Linked DNA regions of Coturnix japonica. The protein of the gene in region 3 interacts with the protein of the main gene of each other region in a pairwise test. Links are inferred from orthologs where the notes say so. Each region holds a gene or a part of one and is shown on either strand. Other genes may lie near its edges. The genes, in order: MEOX2; TCEANC; CARD9; TFIP11; PAK5; keratin, type I cytoskeletal 19; KIAA0408.

The links.
Region 1: the proteins of CARD9 (region 3) and MEOX2 interact in binary tests that used the Homo sapiens proteins (3 or more experiments, as listed by UniProt). The two-hybrid records come from large-scale screens. The link is inferred for Coturnix japonica from reciprocal best matches to the Homo sapiens genes CARD9 and MEOX2.
Region 2: the proteins of CARD9 (region 3) and TCEANC interact in binary tests that used the Homo sapiens proteins (3 or more experiments, as listed by UniProt). The two-hybrid records come from large-scale screens. The link is inferred for Coturnix japonica from reciprocal best matches to the Homo sapiens genes CARD9 and TCEANC.
Region 4: the proteins of CARD9 (region 3) and TFIP11 interact in binary tests that used the Homo sapiens proteins (3 or more experiments, as listed by UniProt). The two-hybrid records come from large-scale screens. The link is inferred for Coturnix japonica from reciprocal best matches to the Homo sapiens genes CARD9 and TFIP11.
Region 5: the proteins of CARD9 (region 3) and PAK5 interact in binary tests that used the Homo sapiens proteins (3 or more experiments, as listed by UniProt). The two-hybrid records come from large-scale screens. The link is inferred for Coturnix japonica from reciprocal best matches to the Homo sapiens genes CARD9 and PAK5.
Region 6: the proteins of CARD9 (region 3) and keratin, type I cytoskeletal 19 interact in binary tests that used the Homo sapiens proteins (3 or more experiments, as listed by UniProt). The two-hybrid records come from large-scale screens. The link is inferred for Coturnix japonica from reciprocal best matches to the Homo sapiens genes CARD9 and KRT19.
Region 7: the proteins of CARD9 (region 3) and KIAA0408 interact in a two-hybrid assay, tested with the Homo sapiens proteins (2 studies listed by BioGRID and IntAct). The two-hybrid records come from large-scale screens. The link is inferred for Coturnix japonica from reciprocal best matches to the Homo sapiens genes CARD9 and KIAA0408.

What each region holds. Positions count from the first base shown.
Region 1 is NC_029517.1:25,705,454-25,707,974, forward strand, and holds the end of MEOX2 (homeobox protein MOX-2), read right to left. Parts: intron 1,787-2,521; coding exon 1,562-1,786; 3' UTR 501-1,561; downstream 1-500. UniProt on the Homo sapiens protein: Mesodermal transcription factor that plays a key role in somitogenesis and somitogenesis and limb muscle differentiation. Required during limb development for normal appendicular muscle formation and for the normal regulation of myogenic genes.
Region 2 is NC_029516.1:110,838,941-110,843,160, forward strand, and holds the start of TCEANC (transcription elongation factor A N-terminal and central domain-containing protein), read right to left. Parts: upstream 2,801-4,220; 5' UTR 2,782-2,800; exon of another isoform or gene 2,687-2,781; intron 2,670-2,686; exon of another isoform or gene 2,547-2,669; intron 2,027-2,546; exon of another isoform or gene 1,054-2,026; intron 1-1,053.
Region 3 is NC_029532.1:6,407,915-6,410,598, reverse strand, and holds the end of CARD9 (caspase recruitment domain-containing protein 9), read right to left. Parts: exon of another isoform or gene 2,591-2,684; coding exon 2,545-2,590; exon of another isoform or gene 1,407-2,544; coding exon 1,336-1,406; exon of another isoform or gene 860-1,335; coding exon 777-859; intron 672-776; exon of another isoform or gene 650-671; coding exon 553-649; 3' UTR 501-552; downstream 1-500. Other genes in the region: DNLZ (DNL-type zinc finger protein), read right to left, coding at 46-185, 251-478. UniProt on the Homo sapiens protein: Adapter protein that plays a key role in innate immune response against fungi by forming signaling complexes downstream of C-type lectin receptors.
Region 4 is NC_029530.1:6,267,218-6,271,422, reverse strand, and holds the start of TFIP11 (tuftelin-interacting protein 11), read left to right. Parts: upstream 1-1,405; 5' UTR 1,406-1,497; coding exon 1,498-1,694; intron 1,695-2,438; coding exon 2,439-2,442; intron 2,443-4,205. UniProt on the Homo sapiens protein: Involved in pre-mRNA splicing, specifically in spliceosome disassembly during late-stage splicing events. Intron turnover seems to proceed through reactions in two lariat-intron associated complexes termed Intron Large (IL) and Intron Small (IS).
Region 5 is NC_029518.1:12,086,702-12,090,201, forward strand, and holds part of PAK5 (serine/threonine-protein kinase PAK 5), read left to right. Parts: intron 1-2,270; coding exon 2,271-2,396; intron 2,397-3,500.
Region 6 is NC_029542.1:4,201,966-4,205,943, forward strand, and holds the start of keratin, type I cytoskeletal 19, read right to left. Parts: upstream 2,801-3,978; 5' UTR 2,681-2,800; coding exon 2,219-2,680; intron 1,399-2,218; coding exon 1,316-1,398; intron 1,007-1,315; coding exon 850-1,006; intron 692-849; coding exon 530-691; intron 381-529; coding exon 255-380; intron 151-254; coding exon 1-150. UniProt on the Homo sapiens protein: Involved in the organization of myofibers. Together with KRT8, helps to link the contractile apparatus to dystrophin at the costameres of striated muscle.
Region 7 is NC_029518.1:53,664,825-53,668,324, reverse strand, and holds part of KIAA0408 (uncharacterized protein KIAA0408 homolog), read right to left. Parts: intron 2,117-3,500; coding exon 1,943-2,116; 3' UTR 1-1,942.

The DNA.
Region 1 (2,521 bases), on a different chromosome or scaffold from region 3:
CTCAAGGACATGCACATTTACCACTTGCACTTTCTTTCACTCTGCATCTTCTATTGCAGAACCCAGTTGAATTCACCCCTTATGTTTTTTGGAGGCATTTTAGTATCTTTCTCTTGAACAACACTATCAGATAAAGGCACTGTGATGTAAGCATGCGTCCCTTTCCTGATTTTTATTCATTTTTATTCATTTCAACAAGATCCAACAAAATAACCCTTTATAATCACTCTAGATCTGGAAAAATGGTTGAACAGACTCTTGTTGTTTTTGGCTGAAGACATCATTAGCTGCTAGATGCCTTTTTCCTGCTGAAGGAAAGAGTTTCCCAAATGGATCAAGGTGGAAAGTTTATCCAAGATTAAAAGCCTAAATTTGAAAATGTAGCTTTGTGTTGTTCACAGATGAAGTTCCAAAAGACCCAAAAAAGTCAGAGTTCCTTAGGACTTTTACAAAACAATATTCTTAAGTTTCCTATGAAATCACTGTAGAAAGACCAGAAGTATTTAAAAAGGATTATTTATTAAACATTTTTCTTTACAAAGTACAATCAATGGTTTGCATTAAATTTTGAGTTTTGGTGTTTGCCTGTATGTACACAAAAGCTTGTAACAGAAAATGTGTCTTGGTTTTATACATGGGACACAATAGTGAGTTACCTTCATATTTTGATTCCTACCAACATAAGCAGTTGATAATAACTTCCAGCTTACTGCTTTTTAAACTGAAGATGAAGCAACATTTCCACAGAGTCAGTATTAATCAATGTACTCAGTGATGACAAAGTAGAAATGAATAATCCTTTCTGGGGTTTCCACTGAATATGAACATTTTCTGGCAGGTTACTGGACTATCCTTATGATCCTAAAAATCTTTTTTTTTTTTTTTGCAGTTATAAGATAAGAAGAATTGAGGAGCTAGGTAAGTTTAATAATACCCTATTAGCAGCAGTTGATAGTAAATGCAACATAACATTTGTTTTGTCTGTCATACAAGGACGTGTCCTAGCAGATACTTTCTCTACTTGAACAAAAGTATCTGCATGTATTGTATGTCTTTGGCGAAACAAAACAAAAATAAAGAGACAAAAAGCCATTTATTGTCATGAGTGACTATTGCCATCAGCTAATATGAATGCATTGCTAAAATTAGTGAAGACAGGAAAATGCTGTAAGGTAAATATATACAGAGTTAAAATACATTTCTTATCCACTAGATAGTGATTTTGTGGCACTGTGGTTTTCAGAATATAATGTCTGTTGAGAGCAATGTAATTTTCAGTGCAAGCTAAAGCAAAAATACCTGCCCGCTGTCATAAACATGACAAACAAATCTGGAATGTTCAAAGTTCATCTTCCACTTCTCCAATCTTGAGGCACCTTTAAGACATGGCACTTACTGTAAACCATCTAAAAATTGAGAAAAACAGACACAATAAGCCTGAATCTTCCATAACAACTTTAAAAATCACTGCCAGAGTCACTTGCATACGTAAACGATGCCTGTGTAAGGCTTGCCAGCAAAGCATCTTTCCTGAGAACGGATCTGGGACAATCTCTGTGTATCATAAGTGCGCGTGCTCAGAGCTGTGATCGCTGTCGTGGCTGTCATCATTCGCTAGTGAGTCCCCCGTGTGCTGGAGACCAGCTGCCCCAATGCCAGAGAGCTCAGAGGGGAGTAGCGTGCCTTTTTTCACATTCACCAGTTCCTTTTCCCGGGCTGCTGCCCCTTGCTGGCCTCCTTTTACCCGCTTCCACTTCATCCGTCTGTTCTGGAACCAAACTTTTACCTTTGTAAAAGAAGAAAGGAAAAAAAAGAAAATAGACATGGTGTCACTGAAGGTTGATAACCATCTTCCTAGCTGTACTATAGCCCCGTCTTTTTTGTTAAAAGTACAGCAAGGGCTCCCTGACTGTCAAGAGATCAAATTTGGGATGGAATGAGTGCCCTGGGGATGTAAGGATAATGACTGCATGGGATGGAAAAGAGTTACAGCAAGAAGGCTGCAGGCCCAGCTGCAATATGCATCACTGCTGTCATACCCTCAATGGGAAGACCTCAGAGCCCTTTAGAAAAAACTGCAAATTCAACATGCTCTTGAAAAATGCATTAATGCCATTCCACATATAAAGAAACAGAGACACAACTGAACCCACAAGGGACTGAACAGAAGAACCCAGCTCCTGGGTAGCCCAGTGTGGTGTGCTACTTATAATGCTTTTCTAATTACATTTTAAAGGAAGCTAACTACTTCAGAGAGGAACTTCCACTGAAAAAATTTCAGTGTTTTTTGTCAACTAGTGGTTTTGAGTGGAGCACTGTAAAAGTTTTTTCCTTTCAATTTGCTGAAGCAAAGTGACTGAAAGAGTATTTCTTACAGTAAAACTTATGACTTCCCTATATTACAAAAATGTTTAAATAAACTTAGTTGATAAGTCCTTAATTCTACTCCATTTATTCACATTTTTCACACAAATAAACACCCACAAAGGCAGACAGCAAAGCAGTTATAAATCTGAATCAA
Region 2 (4,220 bases), on a different chromosome or scaffold from region 3:
CAAAACACATGACAAGACCAGAATTGAAATCTGTAATTAACATCTTCAGCGGAGTGGGATATTCATTATCTGCAAGTAGAAACACAAGAAACAACCAGCAGGGAAACAACCAAGTAAAAGTAATAAGTATGCCTTCATCAATGACAAATGAGAAGAAGGGTTTCTGAAGAGAAAGCATTGTACACACAGCACGGCACTGCTTTGCTGTGTGTACCCAGTTTTCAAAAGACCTTAAAATACTTCAAGCTGAAAAGTGATACATACCCATAACCATAAAGTATTCCACTACCTAGACAATCACAGATTTCATCTCAGCTTCCATATTAAAAGGCAGTGTGATGAGAAACTAAAAATGCTGTTTTTGCACTGCTGCTCTGTAAGACAAGTGGCAATTGGATTTTAATCACCAAGGCTGATGTTGAGAACAAGCACAAACCCAGTACATTTTAAAACTTCTGGCTTCCTTCAAAGGTTGAGGCAGAGTGTTTAACACAGGGAATCCTGCAGAGCATTTCATATTAAGTCAGTATGTCAAGGAACATTTCTAGAATCCAGATACAAGTAAATACTCTGAGTCTACTGCATGTTTTCCATGTTCTTAGAGGGAGAAACAAAGAATTACTGATGCAGTGGCAACACTGGAGGGTATTTTCTAGCCAAAGTTCACATTGAACCTAAGCAGAGTAAGCCTTTCTTTCTTTCTTACTCACACATTCGTTGAACACTGATGTTTCTGCTGTGTAACAGGGCTTTGATGTTTTGCAGCATAATGGCAAAACCAAAAATCTACAGCCTATGTTCTTCTCCCAGGTACATGAATACTTTCTTTGGTTGTTTTGTAGATGGAATTCTGTAAGCTTGTTCTAATCTAGGGAACAGTCAGACACCCTGCATGCCGCCAAGGGGTTGTTGTTTTTTCTGCTGTCAGATATGCAAAAGCACTGATTGAAGCAAGTTATTCAGCAAATAGGAAAACAGAAGTCTAAAACAACTGCTGGTAGTCTACAAATATCCATTATTAGTTATGAAGCTTACACAATGAAACTTACTCACCTCTCTGGAGCATGGCACAACAGTGAGGTGGTGGAGTTGGCTGCAGTTTTAAATGGGAAAATGTTTTACCACTTGAGGGGGCTGTAGTACAGCAAACCCATGCAGCCTTGTGTAATAGTGCACAATGAGAAAGCCCAGCCTTGGGGATAAAACGATTTCCCTATGGCCTTTAGGAAATTTTACATTTTTAAGATACCTATTTGCATAATATTTGGCAAAATAAACCCTCAAAAAACAAACAAACAAACAACAACAACAACAACAAAACACCCTGTAGGCCCAAAGGTGCCTGGTCACAGACTGGAGGGAAGGTTTTAATCCCTCATCCAGTCTTTGTGCCATACACTGTTTTTTCATCCGACATTTAAAACATTTGGAATTTTACCACTACCCCACTTGATTTAATGCTATTTGGCAAATGCTGCTGAACAAACAGTCAGCAGTTTTCTGCTGTCTTCCTTGTTCCAAGAAGTAACACAAGGCATTTCCATTCTGCTTAATTTCAGCAAAGTATGGGAACATCCATCTGAATTCTAAGTGAAGATAGAAACTGGTTTGCATTTTCAATTAGGCTCTGTAATACTGTGCTGCTGAGGTACTTTCTTGCCAAATCATTACCATCTCTCACACTTGACCACATGGCATAATGAGTCACTGCATGTACAAGAATTAGCAATGGTGATCAATAAAAATCTAGTAAGTCAGTTTGCTTTTAAGGAGAAAACAAACAAACAAACAAAAAAATAAATAAAACAGACTACCTCAGGTTTGAAATACAGTCATCCCAAAACATTGTACTGAATCCAAAGGTTTTAAAAATGAAAATCACTGCATGGGGGAAAAACAAACAAACAAACCAGTGTGAGAGATTTTCTGCTAACTAATCATAGAATGATAGAATGGCCTGGGTTGAAAAGGACCACAATGGTCATGTAGTTTCAACCCCCCTGCTATGTGAAGGGTCATCAACCACCAGACCAGGCTGCCCAGAGCCACATCCAGCCTGGCCTTGAATGCCTCCAGGGATGGGGCATCCACAACCGCCTTGGGAAACCTGTTCCAGTGCATCACCACCCTCTGTGTGAAAAACTTCCTCCTCAGATCTAACCCAAATCTCCACTGTCTCATTTTTAAAACTAAGAAGCTAACCCTTGGGGAAAAAAACCTGCCCTCTCCAAAATCATTTGGGGTAAGTGCCTTGCTCCAGCCATACACCTTCACAGATTCAAAACCATAGTCCACTTTTCCTTAGTGCAGAAAACTTCCACTGATAAACCAAGACAGAGTAAAAATGCATCCAAGTCCATTTCCCCTCTTCCTGTCACCTGTCACACACTGACTGACGCCTCTTCTTCCCCCAACCGGGCCCGCCCAGCACCCATCCCGCGGTGCTCGGACACTGCGCCAGGCCCCACCGCCTCCCTCGGCCTCACCCTCGAGCAATATCGGTTAAGAGAAAGCTGTGTCGCTGGGGAATATGCAGCAATACGGACCCGTACCCCGTTACCTCCGCGCTGGGCCTCAATGCGGCGCAACCCTCCCCACCTCCCAGGCCGCGCTGCGCTCCGCCATGTCTGCGAGCGGGCCGGGTAGGGGGGGGGGGCAGCGCGGCCTGGTGCCGGCGGGACCCGGGGGGAGCAATGCCACGGCCTTTTATTCTTTCGCATGCATTGTACGCAGAGTATTCACAGTGATTCTGGGAAAGATGTGTATTTCTGGCAAACTTACGGGCGTATGATAGGGTTTATTCGCAATTACGGTGAAAATCCGTATGATTTTTACGTAAATGAGCTTGGTTTTATTCACTGATGAGGCCTATGCTGCCCTCTACTGACAAGAAAGGCTCCTGCCTCTTACCAAGGACGATTCCCAGGCAGAAACAGCCCTTTTGGTAAATACGTGAGTGACGTAATGCTTTTACAGTGGTCAACCTCGTTCCGTGTATTATACACAACTGGTTACGCAGTTGAAGTCAGGCTTCCTTTTTTGCCTTGTTTTTGTGCAGCAACAAAGTGTGGGACAAGTCTGAAGTTGTACAGAAGAGGAGCTGAAAAACTGGAAGAAGACAGCATGGCTTTTCAGAACTGGCGCAGTCTTCCTTTAGCAGGGAAGACACAAGGAGCATGATTAGCCCTGTGTGAGGAGTCTTCCCAGGAACAGAGATCAGAACAAAGGATGCCACTATTTGAGGGAGGTTCCTTACTCACAGCCTTCTCCATTAAACTATGTTTGGTCTAATTAATCACTGTTCCAGAAAATATAGGGGCTGGAGCATCTCTCTTATGAGGAAAGGCTGAGTGACCTGGGTCTGTTCAGCCTTGAGAATAGACTGAGAGGGGATCTGATCAATGTCTATAAATACCTAAGGTGCGGGAGGCAAAGGGATGAGGCCAGACTCTTATCAGCAATGTGTGGTGATAGGACAAGGGGAAATGGTCACAAACTGAAACATAGGAAGTTACGTACAAATGTGTGTAAGAACTTCACAGTAAGGGTGACAGAGCACTGAACCAGGCTGCTCAGACAGGTTGTGGATTCTCCTCTGGAGATGTTCAAGACCCACCTGGACTCTTACCTGTGCAGCCTGATCTATGGAGCCTGCTTTGGCAGGGGGGTTGGACTAGAAAAGTTCTAGAGGTCTCTTCTAGCCCCTACAATTCTATGATTCTGCAATAATGCTTTTTCAGTTACTCCTAAGTAAACCAAGGGATAAACATGATATACTTGTTATATTCATATACTTGTGTAATGGTATATATACATATCTTTGTGTTTTTGCAGGGTTTTCCAGGATAAAATCAGTGCTACAGTAACAGCTTGCTTTCCTTGAGATTTCAATGTTGGCTGTGCTAAGTATCTACTTCTCTAAAAAGAATAGACTTCTATTAAACAAGATAAGATACTCTGCCAGCTGATAAATTGTTAAATATCCACAGAAATATTTGGGAAAATGTTGGTTAGACAATTGGTGAACAGTTAATCTGTGCCATCAGACAAGAAACTTGCAAGATTGCCACAATGATTACTTTGTTTATTAACTTAGATGTACATTTATGAAAGAGTTTGCAGTTCCTGAGAACAGTGCAATAATAGAATCACAGAACAATGTGTTTCCTTTTAATGAAATAGAAATCTTTCTTCTAACAGTTCTGAAGATGTTGTGTATT
Region 3 (2,684 bases):
GGCGATGTGCCGATGATGTGACACACCCCCCACACACACACGCACCTCTTGCCCTGCAGGTCGGAGAACCAGCCCAGGTTATCAGCGATTATATGATGGTTGTGACACCCTGGGCACGTAACGATGACGACTCCTCGGCTGTAGGCCAAGCGGGAGATGTTCTGAGCCGAGCGGCGCCGGCACACCTGCAAGGCACGGGTTAGCAACACAACACCGACCGTCGGAGACGCTCCCCTCCCCATCCCCGCACCTTGCAGGTGTACACCAGGCGGTAATGCGATGGCTGCAGCCGCCCCACGCTGCCCGGCGGTGCGGTGCACACACTGCGGGGCAATGGCCGCCGCTGTGGAGGCGCTGAGGAGCCGAGCGCGGCCCGCGCTGCCACCCGCACCAAGCGCCTCAACATGGCGGCCGCGCAGGCGCACAAGAGGCGGCGCTGAGGCTGCGCGGTCGGCCCCACATAGGCCGCCTCCCCCATCCCGACGGTAACGGCACCGCTGTGAGCGCTCAGTGTTTATTGACGGGGCCGGTAACGGGACGTTCGGCCCAGCTCTAGCTGCCCTCCGTGTCCGTGTTGTCGCTGCCGGTGCTGGGCTCCCAGTCGGCTTCATGGCGGCGGCCTGCGGGGGCTCTGCGGAGGGCGCGCTTCCTGGTAACGGGACCGAATGGAAGTGAGGCCTATGGAACCGAGTGTGGGATAGGGACGGGAACGGGACGGGAACGGGGTGGAAATAGGATGGAAATGGGATGGGAATGGGATGGAAATGGGGCCCGACCTGCGGTAACGCTCAAAGCAATCCTTCATCCTCCTCCTCTCCTTCTCAGACAGCTCCTCGTGGGCAGAGCTGCACTCCTCGAACTGGAATGGAACAAGGCAAAGTTGCTCTAAACCTCAAAGCAAGTTGCTCTAAAGCCTTGGATCAATGTTATTATCACACTAGACACGGCTGCTGTGTAAAGATGGAGCCCTTCAAGGCTGAGGTGCTCTACATGATGAGCCCATCTTGGGTTTGTTTGCAGCCCTGAATCTATTTCCAAGAAATTAAGAGGAGAAAATGGAAACTTGTGCCTTAAAATGATTAAGAAGAGCTGGTTGCTACCATAGCCCAGCCCCTGGGATGTGTGTAGAGCCTGCATTGCATCTGCTTGGGCCTGAAGCCTGCTAAATCTAGTAAATGTGTGTGTTTGGTGGCCCTGCTAGGCAGGGGGGTTGGAACTACGTGATCCTTGAGGTCCCTTCCAACCCTGGTCATTCTGTGATAAATCCATTGTTAACAAGCACATGAGTAATTACAAACCCCATTCAGACCAAAGAGAATCATTGTGGGCTCTTACAGTGGGCAACTCTGCAGGCAGATTGCTTTCTCCATTGCTGAACTGCTGGTTTTCGCCTTTGCAGCATTCTTCTGAGAGAAAACAGAAAAGCAAATCACAATCTCAGTCACAGCTGCCATGTTGAAGTAACTTCTCCTTCCACCAGTTCATCACACGGCAATAGCTGTCATGTAAGAGCTGCCCAGCAGTATACAGCATCCACAGCAAGCCAAACCCAGGCCTTGAAACATTCAGTATTCAATCTTGTGACCATTGCACAAGACCCTGCTCATTCTGCGTGACCTCTGAGTCTTGTTTAGACTGGATGGAATTCCCCATAGGATCACCAGACACCATCTGTCTAATTTCTGCTTGTGGAGAAGCAAAATGAACCAGTGCAGAGCAGCACCTCTGCCTAATGTCACTGAAAGAATAATGATGGAGATAACAAGAAGAAATCCCACTAAACATGAATCACAGTTTGTTGGTGTTGGGCCACAGGGAAGATGTGCACATTCAGATACTCAACAGATCGTATTTTAGCTCAACTCCTAATGCAGTGATCAGATACTGTGATATGTCATTCTGATTTGGCTGAGGTAGGGTAAGAAAAGGCTTTGTTTCAGTGTGGCAGCTGCTGTGAAAAGTCTCCCATCTCAGAGAATGATTGCTTAATTCTTTCAGGTGAGGATCTCTGCTTGATTCCTTCCTTTTGGAACATGTTTCAAAGGAGAATCTCAAGCTTTAAAGGACCCTGTTTGCTCTTCTCTGTGCTGCTGAATCATTTCCACTGGGGCTGCCACAAGAACTGAACCAGGGACAGTGTTAATTACATGGTTCTGCTTTTGTGAAAATAGCCTGCAACATAAGAGAGAGGAAAGAAATGTCTCTGGGGAAAGACATGTGGTTGAGCTGGAGTGGAAGGATGCTTGTTCCATTCTCAGCTCAGCCACAAACACGAGAGGACTGTGTGAAGAAGAGGCATCCAGGAGCTGCTTTTTGAAGGCATTGTGTACCAGGTGATTTTGGCTGGCCCAATTCAGAAGGCAGTGCTCAAATGTCTCATTTAATTCCACGAACTCTCATACCCTGCTCCTATTTCACCCAAATGACCAAACCCTCAGTCAGTGGATTCCTCTTCTGCACTAAAAGTGTCTGTTCCTGTCCCTCTGAACACTGGGAAACCCCATCAAGAACCATGCTGTATGTTTTCCCCAGTAGAAACCTTACTTTCAGTCAGGTGTGTATCTTCATCTAGGTGAGCATGAAGAGTAAGCTATTGGGACACAAACAAATTAAGATCATGAGAAGTACTCCATATTCTTTCTCAGACAATAGCTAGGAACAAATGCAGGAACACAGGACACAGG
Region 4 (4,205 bases), on a different chromosome or scaffold from region 3:
AGACAGTTTGTCAAATCTCTTCCTTTTCTGAGCTCTGGAAACAGGATTAATCCAGCAAAATCACAACCAGCCACTTGGGGGTGTTATTACCGGGTGTGGAGAGGGCAGGAGTGGGGTCGTGTATGTGTGTTGAGCCCCAGCAGAAGGGGGGATGTGCCCTGTGTGCATTTCACAAGGGGGTGGTGGTGTTTGCTGCCAGCTTGGGAGAACAGAACAGCTCTCCTTGATTTCTGCAGCAGCTGTTTGTGTGTCAAAGGCTCTGAGTACAAACAGGTGCTGTTGCCCATCACGCAGGGGTTGGAGCTCAGCATCCAACAATTGCTGTCTCACAGTGGTTTTCAAGTTGGCTGTTGGGACTTCCTGACTGCTCAGACTGTTTCTTCCCTTGCAGGCTGCTGCAAACGGCCCAGGGTGGCTCCGTAAAGAAGAGTTTGCAGTTGCACCGATGGAGATCTGTTATCCAAGCATATTGCTTGCTGATATTGCCAAAATGACTGCTGTGCCAGGAATGTATTTGCATTTATTTGCAAAGGCCAAACGTTGTACACTTCGATACCACTCGTCTCCCTTCGCTGGATGCTCCGTGGTGAAAGATCTGTGGAAATGAAGCACGACCGACCCTCCAAAGTGCATTGGAAAAGAGATTTCCTGTTATTTTCAGTGTCTCGTAATGCTGTTCCTTATACGTGCAGATCAGAATAGGTGTCATAACCGTGTATAGAGCATTTGTTGTACAGGTGACAATGCGGCGGACTGTCTCTTCCGTTCACTTGTCATTGACAGATTCTATTTAAGAATTAATATATGAGGTCAATCGTTTCACTCCTGGCTGCACTCATTCGAGTAAACTCTTGGAAAGGGCTGACAATAGCAGGACACGGGGAAATGGTTTTACCAGTTAAAAAGAGGGAAGATTTAGCGTTGCGATTGTTTGGGGGGAAGCTTCTTCACTAGGGAGAGTGGTTGAACCCTAGGAACAGGCTGCCCAGGGAGGGTTGTGGATGCCCCGTCCTTGGAGGTGTTCCAAGGCAGGTTGGAACGTGCCTGGGCTAACGCTGATCTATGGGGATCTATGGGGTCTCTATGCGGGATTCTATGGGTCTCTATGGGCGATCTTATGGGTGGTCGTATGGGTCTCCTGGGGCAACCTGACTAGTAAAGGTGTAATTTTTGGGTGGCCCTGCCAGGCCAGGGGGGCTTTGGAACTACATGATCCTCTGAGGGTCCCCTTCCAACCCGGGTCATTCTGTGATTCGTTTCTCATGACTAGAGAAGTGATTTAATGTCACAGAGCTGCCTCTCGGGATACCTCCCGAGGAGCTGCTCACTCGACAGGGGGCCTAGAGGGGCGCGTTCCTTCTAGCCAGCATCTCTATGGTTAGGGCATGGTTAAAGTGACGTATTTTTCCGTCGCCGGAAGTGATGAGGTTCGGTTCCGTCCCGCCGCCATAAAGAGCGGTAGGTTGGAGCGGGGCCGGGTCGTCGCTCGGATCCATCATGTCGATGTCACACTTATACGGCACGGACGGGGAGGATGGAGTGGAAATGGAGAACTTCGAAGTGTCGGATTGGGACCTTCAGAACGAATTCAACCCACACCGGCATCGCCACCGGCAGACCAAGGAGGAGGCCACCTATGGCGTGTGGGCCGAGCGGGATTCGGACGATGAGAGGCCCAGCTTCGGCGGCAAGCGGTGCGGGATGGACCGGGCCGGGCTATGGGGGATGGTCACATAGGCCCAAAGGGCGTCAGGGCAGCAGGGGGTTGGGTTGTGGGGTATAGTGGGGTAATAATAAAGTGTGTTATAGATATAGGTTAAGCTAATACATAATCAGATAGTCTCCTCTCTCCAGTTCTGATTACATATTCATTACGTTCCCTATGACTCCCCGTTCCCCGCAACCCATTCCTTCATTCCCCCTGACCCATTCCAACTGACCCGCCCCTTAATAGCAGGACACGGGGGAAATGGTTTTAAGTTGAAAGAGGAAGATTTTCAGGTTGGATGTTTAGGGGCGAAGTTCTTCACTAAGGAGAGTGGTAGCCTGGACAGGCTGCCCAGGAGGTTGTGGGATGCCCCGTCCTTGAGGTGTTCAGACGCAGGTTTGGACGGGGCCCTGGGCAACCTGATCTAGTAAAAGGTGTATGTTTGGTGGGCCCTGCCAGGCAGGGGGTTGGAACTCCCATGAACCTTGCAGGTCCCTCCAAACCCGGGTCATTCTGTGATTCTGTGACCCTTGGCCGTTGTTTTTGGGGTGAAATTCTTGCCTGTTTTTTTTTCTTACTTGGTGTTATCTGCTGGTATCGTTCTCCCATGTCAGCGATCATCCTTGCCCGGGGGTATCTAATCTTTACACTTCTTATCTTATTGCCGCCTCTTCTCTGGTTTTTCTTTTCGACTAAGTGTCTGTAATTCCCCTTTTCCCTGCCCTTTTAGAATGGTACACTATCTACAGTTTACCCTTTGTCTTGGTTTCTGTGAAAGTTCCCCTTTCTATTCTATGCAAGAGTGTTACCTTTACCATCCATTTTGGTGGCTCTTGCTCACTCTTACAATTCCCCCTTTTCTTTATACATAGCAGGCCTTTTACCTCTAGATTCTTAAGGGTCTCAAATTACATATATGACTCCGTTCTCTACCCTTATGTCTCACAAACGCTCGTATTGCCTTTGCTGTACAGCTTAAGTGAGGATAGGAATCCGTAGTAGTTATTACGTTTGTAAACAAGCACATAGAGCACTTTACTACTATACAGGTAAAACTTATTAACAGCACCAAGATGGCTATAAATTGGAGATTTACCGATCGAAAATGAGCTAGCTGTTATCAGATAACGCCTACAATTTCGTGGTTATACCAGCTCGAAGTGGAGTTAGTGGTTCCCACAAATCCTTTATCTTTCGCCTGAGAACCTAGTGTTATCAATATGCGCGACACAGGTAAAACACGTTGCTCAGCTCAATCTTCACCAAGGAGGAGGAATACCGATGTTATGTCTTCGAGAGGTCAATGGAAAGCATCGTTTGAAGAACTCGACAGGTCTTAGGTTTTGGTTCAGTCTCTACACTATACGGAGGAATGATAAACAGGTAACCGCTCCCTCGATAAGTGGCTGGAGATTGTGGTTGACCGAGTCCCCACCGCGGTGAAACTTCAATGAAGCCGGCGGAGAGCGCGGGCTTGAGCGAGTCTCGGTGTGTGGAAGGGAATCTACTGATGAAGATGAGAAGCCCCATTTAGTAGCCATGGAGGAAAAATCCCTAAAATGGGAAATAGTTGCCGAAGACAGTTGAAAAAACAGTGAGTGAGCGCAGAGGGAATACTGAGGCGAGTTGGTGCTTTGTTTCAGCCTGGAGAAGAGATAGGTTTGCGGGGTGACCTCATTGCAGCCTTTCACCAATATCTGAAGGGAACATTATTCTGCCCAGAAAGGGAGTAACAGCTCTTGGAAGGGCTGATCAATAGCAGGACTACGGGGAAATTAGGTCTTTAAGTTAAAAGAGGAAGTATTAGCAGTTGGGATGTTAGGGGGAAGTTCTTTAAGCTAGGTAAGAGTGGTTGAGGCCCTGGAAAAGGCTGCCCAGGGAGGTTGTGGATGCGCCCGTCTTTAGTAGTGTTTCCAAGGCAGGTGGTAAAGCGGGGTCCCACTGGGCATTACCTGATCTATGTAAGTTGTGTTATTGTTTTGGTGGCCCTGCTATGGCAGGTGGGGGTGATTCCTTGAGGTCTGCCGACGGTCCTCACTCTGGAGTCATTCTTGTAGTGAATTTCTGTTGTAGATAGTGGATACTATGATCTGTTTGTCGTGAGCTCTAAGAGGATAATTTCTGAGGTTCTTGCGGTATAAACAGAGCTATTCTGAAAGAAATGTGCCTTCATTTGTCGCCAGATGTGGGCAAGTTTAGTGTGGATTAGTATAGTATACTTCCCTTTTACAGAATTAGGGTTATGGTGCTGAATAGGCTCCAAGGTGTTAGGTTCCTGATATTGCCGCAAGGCTTGGTTGTGTTTAAGAGCCGTTTGGATGTGGTGCCTCAGGATATGATTAGGTCAGTAAAGGGTTTTTAGAGTTAGGGCATCTGGTTAGGCTGCGGTTGGACTTGATGATCTTCAAGGTCTTTTCCAACCTGGGTAATTCTATGATTCTAAAGGGAGAACCAATTAACACTGATGTAGCACGTGGGTTATGGCATGAATTTGAGG
Region 5 (3,500 bases), on a different chromosome or scaffold from region 3:
CCATAGATATGCTTGTAAGGTGGTTGATAGCACCCATCCTTTGCTTTCCTGCATTTGTATGGGCCACTGCTATCACCATGTTGTTCTTTCTGGTGTTCACATGTGGGGAGAGAGGGAGACAGAATGCAATGTGAAGTGCCTAAAACTCAGGGTGCCCAAAGGCACGGGTGGAGGGGAGCAAATAACTGCTACATGTAAAAGCCTAATTTCTGCACTAGTTTGAGCCTCATCTTGTGTCCACATGAAATAACTGAAGTAAAAACTAGTTCAGTCATGCTGAGGGATTCCCGTAGGCAGGGTTTCAGGGTTGCTACAGTGGGGTTACACATGTGCCCAAAGCAGGACGTAGTGAGTGGGTCAGAATGAGACCAACAGCACCCAAATCTTCCAGTGCTGGGGATGAAACTTGAAGCTTCTCAGGCCTGATCCAGTTCTCTCACCTTTACATTTGATTCCCACATCACTGAGACAGGGATTTTCTTCCTGCAGCCATCACAGCCCAGTCTTGTTCATCTTATCGGAGGAGAAAGTTCCACATGTGTAGGAGTTTTTCAGTTGCAGTTTTGATCCATGTCGCTGAAATAATGGCATCTGAACTGCTTTCAGGCCCTGCGTGCAGTGCCTCATTATACTCATTACTTGGGTACTTACTATCTATCTGCATTGCAGATTTCTTCATGGCTGTGTTGTGTAATTATCTTTTTTTAGAAAACCGTCTTCTTTTATGTACTCGAACGAGCAATAGATCTGCCAAACCCCTTGTGCTCCTGCAAAAGAACACCGGGCTCTGCTTCCAAAACTCCCTTCTTCTTCCATTCTTCATCCTGTAAACTGGAAAATGTGGTTAGTGTGGAGGACTTGACGCTGCTGGCTTTGTGTTAGAAATACCAACAATCAGCTTGTGATTCTGTTAAAATTAATACCTATACTGGGGGGGAAAAAGTGGGGTCTGTACTGAATCTGAAAGAAAACAAACTGATGCTGATTATAAACAACTGCTGCTCTACACGATGCAGCAATTGATGGAACTTCCCACTTGACTTGTGCTGGGGCCAGCTGGGCTCGCAGCACATCCCCAGCATGCAGCTGGCTGCATGGCTCATGGACTGGCTGCATGGCTCGTGGGCTCTGGGTGCTGGCTGCCATTGCACTGTGTGGAGCGTAGCTTGCGGTGCCAGGGGCTGCCCTCATGTGGAGCAGCTTCCAAGAAAAGCCCAGGGATAGATTTTAGGCCTCCAGAAGAGTACTTGGAAAAGCTAACGCTTCAGCTGCCTTGAGGAGCAAGCGGTTTCTGGAAGGCAGTGATGCCACAAAAGTCATGCCAGCTGATTTTGGCCCCATTTGGAGGGATTTTCACCTTGGTGTTGTACAGCAGTGGGGGAGGAGTAAGGTCATAATTTTCCAGCATTTTTGTTGGTTTAAAAAAAAAAAGAACACCTGCATCTGAGTATAAGCAGGCACATGATGCAGCAGGAGCTGCTCTCCAGAGTGCTCGTGTATCCCATTATTTCTATTTCAGGTCACCGCCACAGCTACTCAAGGACAATGCTTTCCTCAGTTCCCAAGTTCCCAGCACTGGATGCAGGTCCCTCATCTCTTGCAGCCATTTTGGAGGAGTCTTCCACCTGTCCCTGCCTCCCTCAAGCCCCTTTCTACATACACTACATACGGATGATGGTTTTTGAGGGGCAGACTACAGCACACTTGAAAAATTGTTGGTTGGGGGTATTGCTTTCTAGGAGTGCCAGATGGTGCTCTGTGTGGAAAGAGAAACATGGGATTGTCTGCTCTCTGGCAAACTCAGATCTCAAGCTGATAAAATATTAAGAGTGATACGTATTACTTACGATAGATACTGCACTGAATGTTATTAAACATACATACACTGCAAACTTTGAGTTAATGTATTTGCAATAACAGATTAATTATAAATACTGTAAGATCGGGATTTCAGCTTTCCTGCTGAGTTACAGGCCAGTGATCACCTCTGCACTTTTGCTGGAGGGGTGACAAGGAGCTCTGAGAGGTGATGTGAGTAGCAGGCACTGCTGACAGGCACTGCCACTTTCCTGCCTTCTGTTTGGTGAAATCAGCCATGCTCTTTCCATGCTCATCCTCCATCTCCAACCTCACTTCCAGAACCGTGTTGCTGCCCCATCCCAGCTCCTACAGCAGGAGACAAGGGCTTCTCCCAGAGGGAAGCGTATCTGGTTGGATCAGTGTGTATGTGGTTACTCAGGAGGGGCTTTCTCTTTGTCTTTGCTTTTTAGATCAAATTGTCCGACTTTGGATTCTGTGCCCAGGTGTCCAAGGAGGTGCCACGGAGGAAGTCTCTGGTTGGGACACCGTACTGGATGGCACCAGAGGTGATATCACGGATGCCCTACGGCACCGAGGTACGAGCTGTGAGGCACCCAGAGTGGCACACAGTGCTGCAGTCAAACCCACTGGGCCCGGGGAAAAGACAACAGCTGAGATGCTGTACACAGCTGTGCTGAGCAGCAGCACTTGTGTTTGCCCTAGAGTGTGGCACTGTGTGCTTTTTTAACGTCTTCCTTTGTGAGGTGTAGTCAAATAACTCTGTTTAGAGTGTAATTCCTTTACATAGTTTAGCTTAGGGTACTCTGTGAAAGAAAAATAGCATTGTTTGCACACTGCGGAAGGCCTGTTGTTGATCTCTCAATTAGTCTGGAGCTGCAGATAGAGCCACATACACATCCATGTACCAGACCAGTAGCCAGTGTGCACAGCTGCACCACAAGGCCAAGTCACATCGGTACTTTCACAGCCATGCAGGCAGAGACCCACTGAGCTTCCAGCCAGTTAAAGCTGGGATTTCCCAGCCTCTAGGGGAGTACTAGCAAAGGCAAAGCCACGGGCCCTTAGGATCCCAAATGTAAGAGCCAGTTGGGTGGGGTCAGTTGCCATACTCTGTAGTATTCTCATTGCAATCAGTTCTCTGAGTTGAATGAGAAAAAACTAACTACATTGCAAGAACTGTTTAAAGAACTGCAGGCCCCCTGAAAAAAAGGCAGTCCATATGTTTTTGTCAGAGTCTTTCAGCTGAGAACAGGAAGGGCAGGTTGGTGGGACCCGGCTCAGCACTTCTGCACTGCCACCCTGGGAGTTCTCCTTACTCCAGTCTCAGCACAGACAGCATCTGAGTCCCCAGCCCAGGACACAGCTGTATTTTCTTTGGCCTGGTCAGCTTCTGCTTGATAGAGCAACACTGCTATATATGTGTATATGTGTGTATATACATGTATACATGTACATTTATATACATATATGCTAGATATATGTGAGATACACGCACATGTGTACAAAGGAGTGGAAACAAGCTGTGCAGCCGAGGCCTGGGATGGGAGATGATGCATCTTCAGAACGCACAGAAGGGCTCTGTTTGGCCCAGGCAGGATGTGCTCCTACCTGCAAGTGAGGGCACCCTGCAGGCACTGGCATTTGCCCCAGCGTGTGGTTTTATAAGAGATATTTCAGGG
Region 6 (3,978 bases), on a different chromosome or scaffold from region 3:
GAGCATCTTGTATTCGTTGTTCTGGCACTCCATATCAGCTCGGAGCTCCGCCAGCTGCAGCTCAATGCTGCCAATCATGTCCTGAATCTGCGCCAGCTGTGCTCCGTAACGCCCTTCAGTGTCTGCCAGGCTGCTCTCCAGCGCGCCTTTCTGTGGGCACAGTGGGAGGGAAGGGATGCTGAGCTGCTTGCAGGAGGAGCAGTACAGATGTATTTTAGGGTGTCTGCGTTGATGCAGTGCGAATTTTCACATACCATACTGAGCTGGGACTGCAGCTCTATTTCCAGCCCTTGGAGGGTGCGTCTCAGGTCAATGACTTCGGACTTGCTGCTCTGCAGTTGTTCGGTATTGACGGCAACCTCACGGTTCAGCTCTTCGGTCTGAAAAAGGGAAAACGCCACAGGAGACACGTAGGGCCACTGAGTGGAGCTCATAAGGCTTTCACTTTGGTGTTCTGTGAGTTACAGAGTCACTTGGTTTCCTTTCTGATTTAAAAATTAGCATTTATTTAGAATGAAGCTTTTGATACCTTACTGTGGAACCAGGCCTCAGCGTCCTTCCTGTTCTTCTCCGCCATGTGTTCATACTGGTCTCTCATATCGGCCAGGATCTTGGACAGGTCAATGCCTGGAGCAGAGTCCACTTCCACACTGACTTGCCCGGCTACCTGTCCTCCCAGGGCACTCATTTCCTATTTTGTCATAACAGACGAAGACAAAAGAGGGCACAGTTGTGGATGAGATTATTATGAACCATCCTTCCTTTCTGCAAGGCTCTAAACAACTGCACTGGGAAACTGGCAGAGCCCATGGCAATCCTGGGGCACTCCACACAGTGCTTTTTCTTTACCTCCTCGTGGTTCTTCTTCAGGTAGGCCAGCTCCTCCTTCAGGTTCTCAATCTGCAGCTCCAGGTCGGTCCTCGCCAGCGTCAGCTCATCCAGCACCCTGCGCAGCCCGTTGATGTCGGCCTCCACGCCCATGCGAAGAGCTTGCTCAGTTTCAAACCTTCAAAAAGCAAAACAGAACTCTTCAGGCTAATGTGAAATGTGTTATTTGTTAGAGGTGTGTCTGGCACCATAGGAACTATAATATAGCAAATGTTGTCCAACATGAAACTTTTCTACTCGTATTTTACATGGTGGAACATTTTTTCTAGTATAGATGATGTTTTCAGCAGTGCATAAAGGGCTGAGCTGCAATGACAGGATCAAAGTCGTGTTAATACAGAGATTTTACATGCGTTCCTTTGCTTTTTCACAGCCGCTGCCCTTTGCCTCAATACGGATTTTTGTCTCCATGTCAGAATTTACTCACTTGGTCTTGAAGTCGTCAGCAGCCAGTCTGGCGTTGTCAATCTGCAGGACAACCTTGGAGTTGTCGATGGTGGCAGCAAGGATCTGCAATCAGTGAGAGTTCATTGCTGAGGTGGAAACAACTCTGTTCTTTCTTATGCTAAAGGTGGAGGAGTTATGATTATATTTCACCCATAGCTCTACCAAAGATGAGTGCATTTTGTTTGGTGTCAGTAGGAAAATATCAGGTTATCTGTAGCAAATACACAGCACAGACTGATCACAGCACTTCTGCCACTGCTGTCAGCTATGGGTCGGTCCCCTTACTTCTGTCCTATGAAGGGCTTAAAGCTGGAATCCCCTCTCGCAGAGGGAGAGGCCTTGGCTGGGCCAGTGGGTAGGAGCTGCTGTAGGTGTGAGGCACAACCAGTGCTTCCTGGAGAAAAGCAAAGGACGCAAAGTGCAGTTCTGGGCAGAACTGGTTCTGTCTGCGTGTTTTCTTAGCAGGGCAGTGACTGCAAGGACTGTATGATTGCAAAATAAATGGCATGTTTGTGTGTTGCCAGCAGTCTCAGTTCAGACTGCATTGGTAAAGTTCTGAGCACATTATTTTCCCTAAAATGAACGATTTGGTGTTTACTGACTCTGATAATTAATCATGAAAAGCCGTGAAGGAAATGTTCCTTAGCAGCAATCCCTTCAAAGAAGCGCGTCTTTTTTGCCTGCCACTTCCAAACTTAACGCTTCAAATCATAGATGAATTCATGCTGCACATTTCTTTCCCTGCCCTGACCAAGGAGTGAGTTTTCATTTCATCTCCCTCCTTTTCACAGACTGCGCTGCCCTCCGGCTCCTTTCCTAGGGAGGTTTTCTGTTTGGATTACGCTTCATTCCTGGGTGCTTTTTAGTAAATACAACCACTTACCTGGTCTCGGAGGTCTTCAATAACCTTGTAATAAGGGCTGTAGTCTCGGGCAGGGCCCGGTCCTTGTTTTAGGTACCACTCACGGATTTTAGTTTCAAGATCTGAGTTGGCTTCTTCCAGTGCACGCACTTTGTCCAGGTAGGACGCGAGGCGATCATTCAGGTTTTGCATCGTTGTCTTTTCATTCCCTGAGAGGAGACCATCACCAGAGCCCAGACCGCCCCCATAGCCACCACCGAAGCCTGCACTAAAGCTGCTGCTGAAGGCACCTCCATATCCACCGCCCAGGCCGCTTCCTAGGCCAGAAGAGACAAACCTAGCGGAGGAGACCGACACACCCCTGCCACCGGATCCCCCGTGGATGCTCGGAGCCCTGAAGGAGCCACCACCCAAACGGAGCGAGCGGCCGCCGGGTCCCCCTGCCACCGAGGAGGTGGTTTGTCTGAAGCTGTAAGTCGCCATAGGGAGAAATGCCAAGGGCCTGAAGTGAGCTGCGGTTTGTGGTCCCGAAGCAGGAATGTGTGCTCCTTTCTCCCACCCCACCTCTTTTATGCCTGTGACAATGGGAGTTGTCTGCAGAATGTGTTATCTGAGACCCGTGGAATTTATCGGCCGTAAGTCCTCTGCCAACACAGGAATTCCTCCCATTGGTCAGTTGCTGAGAAGTGAGCTGGGTTTCATTCCCAAATACCTTCACGCAAGGAGCTGATTCCCTCCCCCTGGGCTGCTGAGGAGGAAGGTGGGATTGAGGGGAGGTGTTGCTCTGCTGAGGGGAATGGCCACAGCCCCACTGCAGCCTGTGCTGCATCCCCAGCGCAGTCACACAGCAACTTGCTTCTGCAGCCTCAGGGGACTTAAAACACGGAGTGATTAGATCGCTTACTGTGGGCTGATAACGGAGCCTGGAAGGAGCCCACATGGTGAACAGCTGCATGGACCTTAGCACAGCACGGTCCTACCGGTTGTTTTCTTTCTTTCCCTCAGGAAAAATCCCTCCTTCAGAAGGAACAGTTTCTTTGCTGGGCAGCCTTCCCGGGCAGGGGGATCCATGGATCCCCTGGTGGTGTTGGAGAGGCGTTTGGTCAGTGCCCTCAGTGATGTGGGTTGGTGGTTCCTTAGCCCTGATGTGCTCTGGGGATTGGACTGGGGCCTTGAGCTGATGAACCCACTGAACTGTTCTGTTCCGTTACAGATCTTGTTTGTTTCTTTGATCTCATTTCCTTTTGGGCCAGCAGTTCAAGGGAGGATCTGACAGAATGTGCTGTGTGTGGAGTCCCTTTTTGCATAGAACAAGGATCTTTTTCTAGGAACTGTTGCTGCGTTTGTAGCAGACAGACATTAAACTTCCCTGAGTGTCACCTGCGGAGTCAGCAGCAGCAGGAACAAAGGCCTGATTATACCTTCAGTACTTTTGTTACTACCAAAGAGGGAAGTAAACAGTAGAAACCCAATCACGTTGTTTTCTGGGCTCTGAGAGTAATGAAAATGTTGTTTCTCCAGCGTTTAAGTCCAATTCTCCAAGGTGAATTTTCAAAAGCAATGGTGCTTTTATCCCTGCAGGCTCCTCCATCAGCATCCCCAGCAGTGAGCGGCTCTTGCATCTCTTCTGCTTTCTCTTTCTTTCCCCACCACCCCTTCATCCCTGCAAACCTCCAGGGCTCTGCAGCAGACGCTGCTGTAAGGACGGACACAATGAGCAGCTGTGGCAGCAGCCGGGGCAGGGCAGAGCTCTGCATCCTGCAGGTGCTTCCACCGAGCTC
Region 7 (3,500 bases), on a different chromosome or scaffold from region 3:
ATGTAATTTTGGATGTATGACACTACTGCCTGCTCAATCCAACACTGGCATGCCTGAAGAGTTATTGATCCTACAATAGTGGGTACATTGCTCGGAACATATGGCTGGCTGCGTTTTTACTCTGCAAAAAAGTAGTTGCGTAAAGAAGAATAGGCCCTAAAAAGAAGAAAAAAGGTGAGGGTTCTCAGCATGACTGGGATAAGACAACATATCACTAACAAATTAAGCACAACTAATTTTCCATATATTGCCAAACATACAATTCACTAGGACAAAAGCCTACACTCTCTCTGAATTCCTTTTTACATTCACATATGAAGACGCACATGTTAATGGAGCTTGGGATGATTTTTGAAACTCCTTTGAACACACTGTTTCTCCAGAAGAAGAAAAAAACTTGCAAGACAAGATTAGGCTAATGTTGAAGAAGGGCCTCTTTACTCCTTTTAACCTAGACATGCTGTTTAAAGGTACCATTTATCATCATTACTACCCTGCGCATCCAGCAACAGCCTAGGAGAGGGTGCAGAAAATTCCAGGATGTAGGACTTCATCTTTTCAGCAAGAGTCTGGTCAGTATCCGTACTTCTTTCACACTGTGGGGAGGAACAAGCCAGGCTCTGTATACATCATTGTGATGGCCCAAAATACTGAGTCAGGCGATGGCAATAACACTTCCGATACCACTTGTCGAGGATTTCTGGCACTACTGTGATGAGATCTCTATACAGTACTTCCATACTAGATGCAGGTGTTGCTAGAATGCAAGTAAACTTCATTACTGACTGTCAGAAGTCAGTCAAGGAGCAGCATGCTGCTAGCAAGCGGCTCAGGCACTCTAGTCTAGGAGGAGAGTAAAAAAGGCATGCGTCTGTAGCACTGGGATCAACAGTCCTTGTTCTCCTGCCTTGAGTGAAAGTAAACAAGTCCATTGTTCTCTGACTTTGCCAAACCTCAAAATATAATGCTAGAAGGAAAAATAAGTTTTACAGAATTGAGCACATTCAACCCTTTTTTTCCCTTCATAAATTGTATGTTACACTGGTTGGAAGTGCTGAACTGTTTACAGTATGCTATATATATAATGGCACGCTTAAAGACTTTTAAAGAGATCAGAACATTTCAGGAATGTTTCTGGTGTTGAAAAAGGCTAATGTACTACAAATCATATAATATTTTAATTCAGAAAAAATATGTTTAGGTATTTTGACCTAGTATTATAAGGATTAGGAAACTGAACAAGGATGCCATGAAGCATGACTGACAAATCAGTCGAGCTAGTCTGCTTCAGATACATATTGTGCAAGGCATAATCGCTGCAATTAGAGTCACAAAAATGCATATTTAGATTTTGTACATTAAATACTACACCTGTGAACCTATGTAAAAGATATACAAAATATAAATGTCATCAGGACTGTATATTTCAAAATTTTTAAAATAAACACAAAGTAAATATATATATATATGTTGGCATATTGTTGTAATTTCAATGTCAACGCTAGCACAGTTTGTCTCTTCTAAATACAGACCTGTATACTTCCTAGTCCAACACATGCACCTACAAACACATGATCATGCATACAGCTTTATGTTCTGCTGTTTGCAGAAGAGTCAGAATATACAGCACTATACATTGTTTCAACTCAAAATTGATTGGCAAATTAAGACAGATGCCACTCAAAATAAATTCTCTGTGAGCTAGTACCAAAAAACAAAAGAAAGAAAGAAAAGGAGAAAACCAGGGGTATCATTGTTTCCTCTCAATAAAAACACTGAAGACCATGATGATGACCTAAGATTCAAACCATTTCGTCCAGCATGTGATGGAGTCGTTCTTGAACAAGATAGGACGGTGTAGATCTGGTTGCTACCACACATACTGAACAGAGTTAAAATGAGGTGCAGAGCTTTCACAACACCATCCGACCCGTTTCTGGGTTCAAACTACTGAGGTCTCTGACCGAAAGGAAACAGAGCAGTTGTATGCTGTCCTTCTCACAGCTGGAGGTGCTGATGGTGATCTGGATGCCCATCTGGAAGGCAGGCGTCTATTTGCTGGTCGGGCTGGCCGTGAGAAACCCTTCCCATTTGAACATTTAGCTGGCACAGATATCTAGAACACAAAAGCAATCATCCTTGATTTAATGAGTTACAGGAGAAAAGTCCTTCAGAGAATGCACTGGGAATCTAGGAAGACATTCAGGGTGGCCACAGAGCAGGTGGTCTGATGCTATTAAAAGGAACAAAGTAATGTGCAGAATGCAAAAGAACAGGCATTTCTATGTATAGGGATTCTCACTTCAGTTGCAGTTTAAAATATGCAGAGACAAGTGTCAGACACAAGGAAAGGGACAAAATGTTAATGCAAGTTAAAACTGAACACTCATTTTTCATTTCCCTTCATTTTTGGAAGTCTTGTGAATGAGCTCTCAGCACCTTAGAGTATGATCTATGTACTTTCTAGGTAATTTTTGATAGCTTCCATTTCAGAAGACACATTTTGCTAAGAGCTCTCTTTCTGTTAGCACAGCACAAAGCTGTTTACAGTTGGTAAATAATTCAGAATGATTATTTATTAATGCGGTGCCGTGCCTGCATGCTGAGCCTTATATGTACAGGAAAAACAACAGACCTTGATCTTAGCTACAGTACTATAAATCTGAAATAATGAAGATAAACCTCCATGTTTCATGCCAGGTGTAGTTTTTCACATCTTTGTGACATGAAAGCTGCTGAATGAAACCCCCTAACCAGGCAGTATTCTGCACTTAATTTATACAACATAAATAACAACACAGAATGTGAATCTATGGAGAAAATAATCCAGCTGTCTTAGTAAAGTTATTCTGGGCTTGCATCAATGCAAATTCAGTCATTCTCTCCTCATTATTTCCTCCTTACATATTTATTGATGAAATTCCATTTTCTTATCAAACTTACACTGGATGAGAAAGAAATCAAAGGCTTCATGTGTTTTCCTCTGTGCTGTAACGAAGATGTTTCTGCTAAGCAAGAGGTTGCATCACTGCAAGGCTGACATAAAATCATGCAGAAGAAAATCTACATGCTCAGATTCTCAGCTGTTTAAATCCACATACCTCCACTGAAGTCTGTGAATGTGTGACAGTGTAAGGCACACCAGATGACAATCTGAATCCATCTAAGTTCCTCAGCTCTAAACACTTGCCTTCTCATTTCTGAGACAGTGAAGGACACACTCATTTGTGTCCTTAGGGCAAGGAGCTCTTCAGGAAAACAGATTTTTCCTTCTCTGAGGCCTTTTACAAAATCTGTAGCTTACAGTATACTTAAAAAACAAACAAACATCTGTTTCTATTTTCATTAAGAAAGAATGTTGGCAGAGGCAGTACTTCTAAACTTTTGCAAATACAGTTCAGCCAAATATAAATTAATTAGTTATGCCATACTCTTCTACGCTTGTGAGCCTATGCTTGAACTGATAGGACAAGCCTGGAGATGTGAGTAAATGGATGTCA